Canis lupus familiaris: one gene and its partners. The protein of the gene in region 2 binds, or shares a complex with, the protein of the main gene of each other region. Links are inferred from orthologs where the notes say so. Each region holds a gene or a part of one and is shown on either strand. Other genes may lie near its edges.

The links.
Region 1: the proteins of NCAPD3 (region 2) and NCAPH2 are in contact, whole or in part, in a cryo-EM structure (PDB 9F5W), measured with the Homo sapiens proteins. The link is inferred for Canis lupus familiaris from reciprocal best matches to the Homo sapiens genes NCAPD3 and NCAPH2. Residues at the interface, in NP_056076.1 of Homo sapiens: Arg589, Pro591, Met629, Glu680, Arg683, Tyr684, His690, Lys724, Glu793, Asp800, Gln803, Arg804, Arg807, Gln817, Leu820, Gln865, Leu866, Cys867, Pro868, Ala869, Arg870, Val871, Val918, Ile925, Lys929, Leu932, Gln933, His934, Ala956, Asn960; in NP_689512.2 of Homo sapiens: Trp22, Ser68, Lys69, Glu72, Tyr75, Tyr79, Leu82, Asp83, Ser86, Ile144, Ile145, Pro146, Leu147, Leu148, Met150, Ala151, Leu152, Val153, Asp156, Glu159, Asn161, Asn162, Asn163, Pro164, Leu165, Tyr166, Ser167, Arg168, Gly170, Leu173.
Region 3: the proteins of NCAPD3 (region 2) and NCAPG2 are in contact, whole or in part, in a cryo-EM structure (PDB 9F5W), measured with the Homo sapiens proteins. The link is inferred for Canis lupus familiaris from reciprocal best matches to the Homo sapiens genes NCAPD3 and NCAPG2. Residues at the interface, in NP_056076.1 of Homo sapiens: Glu1213, Lys1216, Ile1217, Pro1218, Leu1220, Gln1247, Ser1250, Glu1251, Tyr1254, Lys1258; in NP_001268861.1 of Homo sapiens: Phe291, Lys332, Pro333, Ile334, Trp336, Lys340, Ala341, Arg342, Arg347.

Annotation. Positions count from the first base shown.
Region 1 is NC_049231.1:17,697,129-17,702,130, forward strand, and holds part of NCAPH2 (condensin-2 complex subunit H2), read right to left. Parts: intron 3,925-5,002; coding exon 3,869-3,924; intron 3,761-3,868; coding exon 3,676-3,760; intron 3,599-3,675; coding exon 3,530-3,598; intron 3,406-3,529; coding exon 3,326-3,405; intron 3,236-3,325; coding exon 3,102-3,235; intron 2,829-3,101; coding exon 2,748-2,828; intron 2,362-2,747; coding exon 2,240-2,361; intron 1,370-2,239; coding exon 1,310-1,369; intron 992-1,309; coding exon 925-991; intron 724-924; coding exon 616-723; intron 522-615; coding exon 468-521; intron 311-467; coding exon 240-310; intron 160-239; coding exon 66-159; intron 1-65. UniProt on the Homo sapiens protein: Regulatory subunit of the condensin-2 complex, a complex that seems to provide chromosomes with an additional level of organization and rigidity and in establishing mitotic chromosome architecture.
Region 2 is NC_049226.1:1,096,921-1,101,922, reverse strand, and holds part of NCAPD3 (condensin-2 complex subunit D3), read right to left. Parts: intron 4,953-5,002; coding exon 4,815-4,952; intron 4,506-4,814; coding exon 4,372-4,505; intron 4,128-4,371; coding exon 3,931-4,127; intron 1,761-3,930; coding exon 1,650-1,760; intron 1-1,649.
Region 3 is NC_049237.1:21,443,280-21,448,281, forward strand, and holds part of NCAPG2 (condensin-2 complex subunit G2), read right to left. Parts: intron 3,441-5,002; exon of another isoform or gene 3,400-3,440; coding exon of another isoform or gene 3,370-3,399; intron 2,163-3,369; coding exon 1,974-2,162; intron 1,628-1,973; coding exon 1,513-1,627; intron 1-1,512. UniProt on the Homo sapiens protein: Regulatory subunit of the condensin-2 complex, a complex which establishes mitotic chromosome architecture and is involved in physical rigidity of the chromatid axis.

The sequences.
Region 1 (5,002 bases), on a different chromosome or scaffold from region 2:
CAGCTGGAGGCAGGTTGGCTGGCAGATGTGAATCCCTACCCTGGCCCATCCCAGTAGGCTCCCACCTGCTGTCCTCAGATCCTCCAGGGAATCCTCCAGGTTGTCGTCGTCCTCAGGCCATAGCCCCTCGTCAGGCCTCGGCAGCCACCGCTCACCCAACTGTGCAGAGAGCACCCATGAGGGGCACTGCTATCTCCCGGCAGGAGCCATGCGAGCTCCACACAGGGGCCAGTACCTACCTCCCTCCTCTGCAGCCGCCGGAGAGTCTCCAGCTGCTCCCTCACATGCTTCCAGTACAGGACCTCCATGTCTGTACACAACGGCCTTGTGAGAGGTGCTCCCGTGTCCTGCCCGGGCCCCCACCCCAGTCTCCCTAGAGCCTTGGGCACCCCCAGGCCCAGGGGAACCAGACAGATGATGCCACAGCACTTTACCTCTCGGGAGAGTGCACACAACCCTGACCTCACCTGCAAAAGACGGGCCCTTCCGCCGGGGCCTCCTGCTGTCGGCATGGTCAGCGTCTTCAAGAGAATTTGGTTGGCAGGAATGAGGCCGAGTCCCTGTAGGCTGTCCCCGGACCCTCCCACCCTGGCCCAGCCCCAGCCCACCACTCACAGGCAGCCAGGTACCACTGGTGAAAGTCCTGCAGCTTGGTGGCACCCTTCCTCTTGCGTTTCTGTCCTGGAACCTCCTCCACACGGGGGGGCACGGAGTAAGGCCTACCTGGGGGCAAACGACTATGTCTGGGGCACAACTTTGGGCCCTGGGGTAGGTTATGGCACCCACAGGCCCCAGGAACAGCTGCACAAGCACAGTTCCCACCCGGCTCCCAATGGGTACAAGCCCACCCTCATCAAATGCTAGTGCTCCAGAGAATACATCCACAGATGCCAGAGAGGTGTCCCCTTGCACCCACCCAATTACCTTTCTTGAAGGGCTTAGAGTCCAGGGAGTCAAAGGGATCCAGGCTCTGCCAGGGGTCTGGAGTCTCCTGAGCACAGAGCACAAGCAGACGTGGGGGGTGGGGAGCTAAGGATGTGCACCCTCCCCCCCAGAGCCCAGACACTGAGCACAAAGAGCCAGCCACATTCAGGACCTAATGGTGACACAGCAGGGAGGGAGGAGCCCCAGAGTGGCAGAAGAGCAGACTTAATTTCTGGAGAAAGGAAGATTCCTTGAGAAAGAGTCCACAGAAAGGGCCTCAGGCTAGGAGCTCAGGTTCTAAAAGCTGGAGGAGTTTGGGGGGAGGGGGGGGGACAGTGGAGCTTCAAAGAACACCCTCCCTGGTCTGAGCCCCCATGCCCCTCACCTTCAGGGATGCTGGCTCCCGTCGCTCCCGCAGCACCCACCCACTGGGCTGGGCAGCACTCTGCAAAGAAACAGCTCCAGGGGGTCCCTCTCCTCCCCCTCCTCCTCCCTCTCCTCCCCTTCCTCTGGAGGAAGAGCCTGGCACCCAAGGCTTGGGCAACCAGCAGCTGTGCTCTGGCATCAGACGTCAAGAACCCTGCAGGGACCCTCTTAGGGTCCACAAAAACTCAAGAAAAAATTTTAGAAGAAAATACAAATAAATAAATAAATGGTTGTGAGGTACCTTTTTCTTTAAAATATACAAAAAAATCTTAAATGTCACGCATCTATCGATCAAAATTAACAAACGTTAACCTCTTTCTTATATGCATCAGAGTTTTTCTTCTAACAGATTTTTTTAGGGCAGCCCCGGTGGCCCAGTGGTTTGGTGCCGCCTTTGGCCCGAAGTGTGATCCTAGAGACCCGGGATCGAGTCCCATGTCAGGCTCCCTGTATGGAGCCTGCTTCTCTCCCACTGTCATGAATAAACAAATAAAATCTTTAAAAATAAATAAAAATAGATTTTTTAGCTCCAGGCCAAAACACAAAGGTGACCCATGAGGGTGGTGGGAAGCAGCAAAAGCCTTCAAGCCTGGCCCCTCCTGCCAGCCCGACCCCAGAAGAGTCAGCTTTGGAAACCAGCCACCATCCTAGGTGCCAGCCACAACAGCATAGGGCACAGGCCCTTGAACCCCAGCTCCTTGCTGAGGAGCAGCAGCTGTCCTGCTCAGAGAGAGGAAAGGCGTGCGGGGAACACCCCAAAGAGCTGGGGGTGAGGCCAGGTCTAAGGCTGTCTGGAGGGTGCCCAGACAGGACTGCATGGCCCACGTGAGCGTGGGGACGCTTGCCTGGCTGACGGCTTGAGCTCTGCAGGCCTCAGTAGGGGTCCTACCTGCTGTGGGCTCCGGGGCTCCTGGGGGACCTCGGGGGCCATGGCCTCAGGGAGCTCTGCTGCCCCCTCTTCATCCTCATCCTCACCACCACCTGCAGGCAGCGGATCCTCTGGCGAGGTACCTGAGCAGGTGAGTAGAGAGCAGACAGCAGGTGGGAGGCTGCCTTGCCAACGCCCAGGAGAACCTGCAAGGCCACTCCTCACTCGGCTTCCTTCAGCTGACCCAGGGACTGCAGCAGGGCACTCCACACTCTTCTCGTCACACCGCTCTGTTCTGTTTGGCTCATTTTCCTTTATCAATTTTCCTCCTGAAACGCTCCCATCCGTGCTTACCAGGGGAGAAACAGTAGGCCCAAACCTCACAGGCCCAAGAATGGTCACAGGGCAGTCACGAGACCAAGACAGCACAGTGAGCCACGGCTGCTCCCCACACCTCACCCCTGGGGTGGCTGAGCACAGCGCACCCCTACCCACACCCTGCAAATGCAGCACCACGCTCCCTTCTCACCTGGCTCCGGGGAGATGCTGAGCACGGGGATTGGGCAGCACGCAGAGACTTCCATTGGCTGCTCCTCAGCCCTCTTAGCTTCTGGCAAAGAGGGGGATTGGGCAGGGTCAGCCCAACCCCTCCCCCAGGAGACCCCTCCCAGGGGCCCAGCAGAGCCAGGGCTCAGCGGGGAGAACAGAGACCTGGCCCAGGACCCAGGCACCCTGGGTTGAACCAGCTACAGGCAAAGGGGGCAAAGAGGATGTGCACCTTCAGACACATCCTCACAGCAGGTGCCCGGGGAGGGAGGTGGGACCAGAGCCGGCAGGCACAGGGGACCCCTCCTTCCCAAGCCCGCCACACCCAAGCCCTCACCCTCCTGGTTCCTCGGCAGCAGCGTCTCCGTGGGGGGTATGCCCACCAGCTCCAACATGAAGGCTCCTCTGGGGTGAGCGGTGCAGGTATTCATCCGGAAATCCTTCCGGCTGGCCAGGACTTCCCCCTGACAGCTGTGCTGGCAAAACACATCCACTGCAGAGACCCTTGCCCAGCAGCCTCTCCCCTTATCTGAGTCCCCTCAGCCAGGCTCAGGCCGATACCTGTACAGGGGGCTGACATTCTTCTCCACCTCATCAGGCGCCACAAGGGCCATGGGCAGGAGAGGGATGATGAGGATCTCCTGCATGGAGGCCAACAGTGGGTGAGCCACAGGTCCCGTGGGCTCCAGGTGGGGAACCCATATGGGATGATCCCTCCAACCCCTGTCAGCTAAGTGCAGCCCCTACAGAAGGAGGGGCACTCACACGGGGGGCCAGGTCACTCCTCAGATCCACGTTAGTGCGGGCGTCAGGGAGGTCATCCAGTGACAGGAACTATGCGGGGACAAGAGCTCAGGAGCAGCGCCAGGCAAGTGCACAGCGGGCAGCGGCCACACACCCAAGAATCTCACCTGGTCCTCTCCCTCCTGGGGAGCCATGGAGCTGGTGTCCCCATCGGCCCCGTGTTCCCGCACCGAGGAGAGCTGCTTGGCCCGCCTGAGAGAGAACCAGTGCATGGGTGTCTGGGAGGCTGCAGGGGCCTCCCACGCTGCACGCAGGGCAGACACATGGGCATCCGCCTCCTGGCTCACCACCAGTACTCACTTCTTGCCGGAGATGAAATCCAGAGCCTGGTAGACCAGCGAGTAGAGGTACTCCACCTGGTGACGAGAAGCGGACAGTGAGGAGCGGGAAGGAAAGCCGACCTCAATGCAACCTGGCCCTCCCCAAAGGCGGACACACACAGAAGCCCACCGTCCTCTCCAAAACTCCCAGCAGAGTTCTGCCAACGTCCACCTGACATGTCTCATCAGTGTGGTCCTCTCCCCTTCCTCTGGCCCCGCACGCCACACGAGTGGCTGCCTTCACACCCTACACACCAGCCCGCATGCGGTCCGCTGGCCCAGGTCCATGCTGCTCCCGCCCAGCACCCACAGCTGCCCCCTTTCCTCCTGCAGGTTTGGGCCACCACTGCCCCATCTCCAGAAGCCCCAGCCACAACCCGTGGGACCCCACCCCCACGGTGAGGGTCAGGACTTCCGAGATGCTGGCCAGGAGGCTGTGCACCTGTGCCCCCTCCAGGCCGTTCCCTCTGGGGTAACCGTGCCCAAGGACACAAGCAACTCTTCTTGGCCCTGCTTCTTTTTTTTCATGCCATAAGTTTGCATGAAATCCTTCTTTTATGCACAGAGCTCTGCACTAGACACTGGACACGATGGTGACCATGCGGATGGTGGTCCTTCGAACATGGGCCCCATTTATTTGGATTAATTTATAGTGACTTTGGTAAGTGTCCAGCACGTCTCAGGACTCGGGCTTCACCCCATCCAGTCTACCTGAACTACGTACCACCGCTGTTCCCGCTTCATAGAGAATGAGCAGAGAGGCGTTGCTAGTACTTACCATCTTTGACAGCCCAGGTCACAGGCCGTCTGCATTGTTTCAGGAAGTCCTCCTGGGTGGTGCTGACCCCCCACACCTTCCAGACTTTATTATTAACATGTCACTGCACTTGCTTTACAACACGCACATCTGTCACTGCACGTCTGTGCAGACGTTCCTTCTCAGGACACATGCAGGACATAGGAATCTGACTTAATGGGATTATCTAGGACAAAAGCCAATGAGATCTCAAACTATCTTAATAACTTCTGGTGCCCCCAGTAAAGCTACTGTGTCCTGTGCTGGTCAGGCCTGAATGCAGGTCGCTCGCCCCTCCCTAGCTGGGACCCATCACAT
Region 2 (5,002 bases):
AGAACTAGCAGCTCTGATCTCTTGGGAGGCTCCTGTCTACCCGCCACTCAACAGGCAGTTTCCCAGGTTCCTGATGAGGAAGAAGGGACATGGAATCACACCATCTGAGCCTCAAGCAGAGCTTATAGCAGGGCGCAGACGGGCCCTTTCAGTTCCTGAAGGTGAGGATGGGGCCAGGGAGGCACCCAGGTGGTGGGACTCGGTTCCGGGTTACCACCAGGGTAAAGGACCTTGTAGGTCCCTGAGGTAGGCCCCTCAGGACTTCAAGTCAGAGGCTAGACTGGCAGGTGTACATGGCACTGTCCTGGCTCTGACAGGGCCTCTGGAAGTGAGCTACGAGAAGCCGTATGGTCTAAAAGTTTCTCCTCCGTCTATACTAGCTTTGTCAGAGGATCGCACTTATGGCTCTAATCCCATTATTGTGTCTTCCTCTGAAGCTGTGACAGAAGAGCTTTAATGACTCAAGGGTAAGAACATCCCCAGGCCTTACAGGGGACCACCAGGGACCAGGCCTCTCTGCTAAGAGGCAGACAGCACCTTACCTAACAGCATTAGAGGGAGAAGATTTATCGTAGACCCACCCACAAGGGAGTCCCAACAAAGGGAAGGAAATCCATGAACCCTCCAGCCACTGCGAAGAGAGGGCTGCACAGGCCTGGGGAGGACAGGCGCAGCCGCTGTCACGGAGGGCTGCCAGGGAATGAGGGCTGTGCTGCTCCAACACGGCAGCTGCTGGCCATCCTCCAGACGGATGCTCAGAAACGGGATGGACTTACCGTTCGTAAGCCTTTAGTTTATTGAGGATCTAAATTATTTTTTTCCTCTCAGAGCTCTAAAACACTCTGGGCAATAAAAACATAAGAATAACTGGAAGTTCTCATTTTTTTCCACACAATGAGCCTATCTTTCCTACCTTAACTTCCTTTAGTTAAAAGAGCTATTTGAAGAATTTATATCCAATGTAATTTGGTTGTAGCCCTTACTGAAAAAATGTGTTTAGCATTTCTTGAGAAAGAAAATAGCATAGTGTGAACAGAAAGGAAAAAACATTCCCTTTATTGCTGATTGAAAAATTTTGCCAGAAAGGTCAGGAGTCTCATTTATGTCTGCAAGACAAGTCTACATATCCTGGGTGCTTCGACCAGGACTGTTCATGGCCCCGGATCCCACCAGTGATGGCGGCCCAGGCCCCATCGGTGCACCCCAAGACGCACTATTTTCTGATGTGGAGGCAGTGTTAAAGGTTAACATCCCCAAATTGAACATAATGCCCGATTTCACTTTATCCCTCACCAGAATGAACTAAGATGATTCTTTTGTACTTTACCCCAGTTGAGAAAGGCTTCGAAACTGAATCTCAAAACTGGCATCAAGGACACACATGCTCAGCACAGTGAGTTAGCCCTGCATAAACTCAACGGCATGGAAAGCCAAGAACCAACTTCTGAGGAACCTACGGTTAAACGCTCTCTTCTCCCCGACAAAGACCTGTCTGGCTGGTCTAACTTAAAAAAATGTAAAGCTGGTTTTATAGCATTTTGAGTTCCTGTGATCACCAGCCAACTGCTCCATCGTTGGAACTGTGACAGATCCTGAGTAATGAGCTGGAGGCGAGAGACACTGACCACAAAGCACAAGGTCATCTTTACCCTGAGATAGGTCATGAGTTCCCGCAAAGCTGGGATCTTATTTTTCTCTACCACAGTCTTCAGGGAGATGATAATTGGAATAATATTTTCTATGAAATTCTTCTTCTGAACCTGTAATAATACAAACAAAGGCGTGCTTTAGATGGACAAGGTTCTGAGACCGAGGCTTCTCCCTGACCTGGCTCCTCCTGCACGGCGGAACTACCTAGGAGCCGACACCTTGGTCCTGGGAGCTTGATAACACTCAGAAGGTTGCGTGAAGTAGGATGGGGATGGATGCTATTCTTACTTTTTAAACATGAAACAGGAATTAGAAATATGCTGAATAATTTAACAATCTCCAAACCTCCACACAAACCCATCTTGGATCCGCTCAATTCCTCCACTCAGCATCCTCCCTTTGGAATGAAAATGAGTCTACTTCTGGCTACCCAAAAGGGACATTTTGTATTCCTGCTGGAAGTAACAAATGGTTGAGAATGGCTAAGCACGGAGAGTTGGTGTTGTATTTCTTTTTGTGTGTATAACTCCACACACATTTAGAAAAGTGTTATGTAGTTACATAGTACCTGATTTGACCAAGCCTTCATATTCTTAATCACAAATAATCATTGCCCAGAGATATTTTCTAATAAATCTTTTAGAATTAAAAAGAATCATTATAGCAGCCCATATATGTAGTAAGATTTATCCTTCTTAATCTGAAAAGTATTTTTTCTTCTCGTTTAAAGTCACTAGTATGCGTCCCTTGCTTGTAAATCACCATTTCTAAAAAGTCTTATCAGAGTTCCTAAAATAAAAGGTCAATCAGTAGAGAAATAAACACTTTAATAAATATGAGTTTGAACAGATGGTAAGTTTAAAGATAGTTTTAAAAAGTGGCTTAAATGCATTCAACTCAATCAATACTATCAAACGCCTTCTCTGAACCAGACACAAAGCTAGCCTCTGGGTATGTAAAAATGAAGCCAGAAATTCTTGCCTTCAAGCGACTTCTAGACCAGATTGTGTGCTACGATGGGTGGCATGGTGTGATAAGTGGCACAAAGGTGAGGAACTTACAGAAAAGGGATGCCTAGGGAGGTAGGCCCATCTTTTGAAAAGATGTAGGAATTTGGCAGCAGGAAAGGACAGGGTAGGAGAGGCCCTGCAGGCAGGCAGACAGTGTGCAAAGACACAACAGTAGGAGTGCACTCAAGGAACCCACAGTGACCTGGAATGGAGAGATCAGGGAGGGGAGCATGGAGATGAGGGGTGCAGGGGCAGGACAGACATCCCAGGGCTCCATGTGCCTGGGAGAAGGATTTTATTTGGAAGATGATAGGAAGCTACCAAACTACAGACTAAAGGTAGCATTAGTGAGGCATAACTTATATGCCATAAAATGTACCCATGTTAAGTGACTAGTTTAACGAGTCTGACAACGGTATAGAGTAACCCAAACCACAGTCTGCTTAATCACCCCAGTCTCCCTGGAAGTTCCCTGCTGCCCTCTGCAGCCTATCTGCCTCTAGTCTCTTTTAAGTGGGAGAATAAAATGATCAAATCTGTCCGTAAGAGACTGCTGTGGCAGCAAGGTGGTGCACAGCCTGGAAAAGAAAGAAACTAGAGACACAAAGGGTGCAGAGTGAGGAAACCGCCAGAAATGACACCAGCTAAACAAGTGCAGAGCTACTCAGAATGGGAGAGCACAGAATGGTGCATTCGCAAGATAAAATGGACAGGATCTGGTGACATCCTGGACGGTGACCCAAGTCTATTTCTTTAGGGTCTGAAGCTTTCAGGACTCAGGTGGGAAATACAGCCTAGTGATCCAGGCTGGTGTAAGACCTGGGCCTGGTGAGGACTACGGCAGTCAGGCACCACTCTGAGTCTGATCCCAATTTTCCCACTCTGGCCAAACGAAGCAGGGGTCTGTCATGCCAGACTTCAGACTGGGGTAGTACTGGGTCCTCTTGGGGACAACTTGGTAGATAATGGTTTCCTTCTCCATGATAGAGACTTCAGGAGAAGAGACGGAGAGGAAGAAGAAGGGAGGAGTAACTCAGTTTTGGCAGAGGGAGTCTGAGAGGCCTGTGGCACATCCAAGCAGACAAGTGGGATGGGTTCAGGCCACAGGAGAAGGTGGAGCTACACACAGAGGGAGAATCGTCATCATTGGGCTGAGTGTTAAGGCCACGGGTAAGAATTAAATGTGGATCTGAGGCAGACCACCAGTACTCAGGGGAGGGGCAGAGGAGCACGGGGGTGTAACCAGGCCCGTTTACAGAAGGACACTCACTTGTGAGATGAGCCTCTTCTGAGCTTCCTGCATGACTGCACTGGCCAAGGCCATGTCATCTTCTTCCAGAAGGTCCTTATCTGCTTTAGATCTCATGGCCAAAAGCTTGATTTCCTTAGAGCTGAGGACCTCAAATGTATCTGAGAGCAATTCACTGGCTTCCATGTCTAGGGGCAGGATGCCGTCGGCAAAGGATGCTGAGAAAGAGCACAAAAGGTCAGCTTCTGAGAAAGTCAGCCCCAGGGTGGGAAAGGGTAGCCCACAGAGAGAGGAGGGCTCATCTTGGCTTCAAGTGGGCATAGCTGATGTCAAAGAAGGGAAAAAACCAGAGTCTTCCCACAGTATCAGGGGCTCATTTGCTAGAGATCTACTGAGCCATTAGCCAGCCACAGGGCATTTCATTTTTAAATATACATTTTATCCCAAACACACCAGGCCTACCCAAAATGCTAAGACAGATTTTGGAAGTGATATTGAATCGCTGTTCATCTGTGAAGTGCTCCAGAAGAAATTTGTAGATTTTCATTCGTTTCTGCTTGTTTGTCTTTCCCTTCAGTGAAAACAGCTGCTTCTCTCTAGGACAAAACAGGACAATTTTACCACATGATGTGGGCAAGGGTGCAAGGATGTTCATTTCAGCAGCAGTTTCCAGCATCCTAAAAACTGTCTACCCACGGTGGAGGTACATGATTGAGATGACTATGCTTCTCAGAGGCACTTCCTTGGGACGCCACTGGACGAATGAATGGTCTCGCATCACCCTGTCCAGAGAAGGCAGGCCTGCCACAAGGAGCGCCAGGGCCGGGGTCTGTGCCTCGAGACTCGTACAAAGCAGCTGCCCATCTCCCACCACTCGCCCTGCCCTTCCCGAGAGCTCCACTGACCTCTCCGACTGGGGGAACTTGTTATACTTCTCATGCTTCTCGTAGTTATTGAAGTGGAAGATACACTCAATGAAGTGCTGGAAGAACATGACAGGGTTCCTCTTCAGCAACAGGTGAGCCAGGCAAAACTCCCCAAAACTGCAGGGAAGGGGGAGAGAGAAAAAAGAGACCTGTTTGCTCTTTGCACA
Region 3 (5,002 bases), on a different chromosome or scaffold from region 2:
ATGATAATAACTTGTAAAAAACTGTTAACTACTGTTATAAAAGCAGATCCAATAGAATACAGAATTTTAGTACTGTAAGACTCAGAAGGGTCACACTGTCCAAACTCCTCGTTTAAGAGAGGCAGGTATTCATACTACCCAAACGTAAGCACTACAACACCCACAGGTAATACTCAACACCAAACCCAGGTCAGGTGTGGTGACCAGTAACCCACTACAACTGTCCTTCATAAGTTGGCCTCAAATTCTGGCTCACTGGCGAAAAACAGTAAAAGAATTATTAAAATGGAAAAAAAAAGAATTATTAAAATGAATACAAAAACTGCAGTGCTTTTATTAATTGAAAAGCTCAAGAATGAAATGAAAATACTAATAATATGTTCATAATTATAATCCATAGATATCTGAATGCCATTACATACACGTTAAATTCCTGAATTAATGGGAAGTTAGAAACAACTACAATATCAGCACTAATCATTTATAAAAGTTATTTGGAGACTGAAAATAAACTATGGTTACATTCACAAAACACTGGGAACTATTTATATACTGATTAGGGCTAACATCTTAATCAGACATTGTATTTCAATGCAAGAATTCTGAATAAAACATCTACATACATCTAAGTGTTAGCACTAAGAATGCAAAGTCTGATGGGAAAGCGTGTCATACAGAATTAATTACAATGTGAAAGTGAGGACACTTAGGTGATTTTTCTTCTCATTACTTAAAATCATTTTTGCATCTTTTATATCTGTAAAATAGTTTTATGTATTTTATAATTAGATATTCTCATTAATTCTTAGTGCTCCTCCTAAATTAGAAACTACAGTTTTACAGTTTAATTAAAATCTGAAAAGCACCATGATACAAATTTTAATAGTAAAGTTCCCCTAATTGTCAACACCTATTTCTCAGGTCACTTTCATAACATATTTAAAAAATGATGCAGCGTCACAAATGCTTGGTTAAACTGAAACTTTCTGGCAGTAATCACCAACTGAGGAATTTATAATCTGACCATTTTTCCTTAATAAGCTCTTACCACTGGTCCCATAGGTCAAATAAGACGTACTGGAAAATCTGAGAACAGCAGTCAGTTGTTCAGTAATTTACATTCTAAATCAGTGCATCAGGATAGCCCTTAAAATAATACTTCTTGGGACACCTGGGTGGCTCAAGGGTTGAGCATCTGCCTTCAGCTCAGGGTGTGACCCCGGGGTCTTTGGATTGAGTCCCACATCAGGCTCCCCACAGGGAGCCTTCTTCTCCCTCTGCCTGTGTCTCTGCCCCTCTCTGTCACTTATGAATAAAAAAAAAAAAAAAAAAAAAAAACTTAAAAAAAAAAAAAAAGAATACTTCTTTGCTCCTTTTCTAGCTGAAGTAAAAGAGCTTAAAAGCAAAGTTACACCTTAATACTTCTGCTTCTACATGAAGACTGGCTCCTTCCATAGAGAACCAGTAGATGCCCACCTCTAAACATGCCATGATATCACAAATGCAACTCACCATTCAACATCACTGCACATTCCAGTAAGTCTTCATAGTTCTCACTTTCATTTATTACAGATACAGAAGCAAGAACCACACATGTAATTGCATGAATTATTTCTATGCTGTTTTTCTACAAATGAAAAAATTCAAATTCAAGTGACTTAAAATCAACTTAAAATAGAATTTTAAAAAGAAACGTGAATGTTACTAACTTTATAAAAATTAACCCACACTTCTAGCTTATTCTAAAAAGTAAATTAAATTTGAATACAGGTCAGTTGTCCAAAGAGAACAGCAACATTGAATAGCAGATTAATAATGGGCAGAATTGTTTAAAGTAAAACTATAATAAACATACTCCTAATATTCTTTCTTAAATTCTAGCTTTTTTTCATCACTTAAAATTCAATTACATACAATATTTTTTTTTAACAAATTAAAGGTAACAGGTTTTCTATTTGAAAAATTACTACTACCATTTTTGATTCATGCTCTGTTTCCATAATGTCTTCACCCTGGACTTCCAACGTCTGCCACTCAGCCACAGGGCTTTCTAACAATACACCCGTTAATAAATTCTTGAGCCTTTGCCATAGCTCTTCTTTCTGTTTCCTTGATAATTCATCTAGTAATTCATTTAGGCTGAAAGGGTCAGAAGCATCTTTCTGCAAAATAAATAGCAATTGTTATATTTCAATTACAAAAATTAGTTCTATCCCCTTTATAATGGCATCAAAAGGAAGTTTTGCTAAATTAAGTGCATTCATTAAGTGCTAAGCTAATGACCATTTCAAGAGTTGAGCTGTAGTTTTGAAATACTTTTCCTAAGTGGAAAAGTACAGGAATTATGAGACAGAAAGTAGCAGATGCCAGGGCACCTGGGTGGCTCAGTAAGTGAAGCATCTGCCTTTGGTTCAGGGCGTGATCCCAGGGTTCTGGGATGGAGCCCCGTAGAGTCTGCTTCTCTCTCTCCCTCTGTCCCTCTCTTCACTTGTGTGTACACACTCTCACTCTGTGTAATAAGTAAATTCAAAAAGTAAAATAAGAAAGTAGCAGGTTTCTCATCTATATATTCAGCCCTAGTAACCTAGTCTTTGGAGTTTAAAAATTTTACCCACTTAGAAATATCCTCTCTAAAATCAATCCATCCAGATGTCCACCACTCCAGGCCTATCATCAGGGCACAAAGTATGTTGGAGCTGTACAAGAACAACAACACAGCCAAGCCAACTGAGTATACTTGAAGTTGCTGATCTCTAACCCAACTTGGACCCTCAACACCCCCTCTTACTCATCTCTAGACATCATTCTCTTCTTTTAACCAATGAGATTATATCGGATCCTCTCAACTATCCCTAAAACCCCCGAGCCAACCATTTCTTCTCACTCTGAGCTGATGAGCTTACTCTCTGATACAGCAAATAGAAACCATTACCAAAGGGGTAGAGCATTCATCTTAAAGGGACTGTGTGCAGCCAATGTGAGCACCAATCAAGTGACCGTAATGGATTATAACCCAATCAATAAAGTAAGAACCAGTGAAACGAAACTGATAATAAATAAATAAATAACAAACAGCATCAGCATGCTATAGATCACCAATGAATAAATATGGAAGGAATATGGGGTTAGAAAATCACAATTTTCTATACTATATACTATAATAGCCATTATAGTAATAAATGTTTCAGGCAAGAATCATCAATTGACACTAAAACCAGAAGGTACAAGTCTGATGAAGAGCAGGGTATTTACCTAATCTCAACTTACTTCCCCAATTAAGATCACTTATTAATTACGAAGGTGGAAACAGCAGCTTGACAGTGGAGAAATCTGGTATAGCCCCAACCTAAGTGACTGATTAAAACTAACCTCAGCAATAACAGGACAAACGGACATCATGTGCCTCCACTGAGGAAGACAAAACACCACTTATGCAGCTCCTGTCAAAACGCATAAAATGAATTTAACCAAATCATCAAAGAAGTGCAAACTGAAGGATATGCCACCAAACAGCTGCCTACACTCAACTATTCTGACCTACAGAATGGCATTTCATATCATTCAACTCGAAGAAAACAAGTGATGCATAATCCTACATCTTCTCATTTTCGTGTTTAACTAATAGCTACACGGTGATTAAGATACTAAATAATTAAGTGTTAATAAGGCTTGCTACTCATAAGCTAAAAGGAATGACTATGAATACAATGACTAACTCAGCATCCTCCTGAGATATGTGCTGCTGAGCAACAGTCCAAGGCACTAGGGCATGTGACCAGGGGTAGCTGCGGACAAGGATCTCAAAGGGCGCCCTGTCACTACATCAGCCTGATCCTGTAGGGACTGTGCTACCCAGATGTTGCTATTTTGGCCTTTTGATTTTAAATTAATATTAACTAGCCTCATCATCATCAATTTAGTTTGTGATAGTAGTTAATACTATGACAAAAGTTTGCAACAATAATCTTGTAAACTTTAAACCACACGTGTATTGCACACATAACAGAAGACATATCATCTACACTCCTACTAAAACAAGTGTTTATATAACATCTAAATAGTGTGCTCTCAACAGACACTTCTGAGATGTGCTGCCTGTGAGTCTGTACTGACTATTTTTGTTTACAGGGTACTATTTTACAATATGAAATCATATCATAATTCATTTCCCTCTTAAAAATAATTCCAGGATGCCTGGATGGCTCAGTGGTTGAGCGTCTGCCTTTGGCTCAGGTTGTGACCCCAGGATCCTGGGATAGAGTCCTGCGTCGGGCTCCCCGCAGGGAGCCTGCTTCTCTCTCTGCCTCTCTTTGTGTCTCCCATGAATAAATAAATAAAATCTCTTAAAAAAGAAGAAAAAAAAAACTTCATAAATGTTGCTAGCAATAAATTTTCTATTAGGTTTCTCTCTACTTAATTACTACTTTTTTTTTTTTAATTACTACTAACTTAATTTTCACTGCATGAGCAAAACAAATGACATGCATCTTCTGACCCAAAGTCACAAGTGTTTTAGAATTGATACCTTAACTGTTGGGGTTCCTCAAGGTTCTGTCCTAGGCTTCTCTTCTTACACTACAGATGGTCCCATTGCATTCCCATGACTGAAGCTTCCAAGTGTCACTGAGGACACCCAAATCTGTCTCTATGCAGGCCTCTTTCTTGGGCTTTAGGTACAGCTACTGATCCACCTACTGGTCATCGTGTGCACATCCCCCTGGCAGTCATCCAAATGTCCCAAATGGAGCCTATCGTCCCTCTAAAACCTGCCTTCTTCCTACTGAAAGGCACCACAAGTCAGAACCTGGAATCCACCGTGGCCTACATCCAGTCAAGAGCACCACCACCTTGCAACCTGACAGCTTGCAAAGGCACCCATATCTCCTAATGCAACCACCATTGTGCAGGGCACAGCCTCTTCACTACTCTCCACCTATGTGTATACAAGCCCCCATTCCTCTCAGGATAACATGGTAAAGAAGGGCTGTCATAATCCAAATCT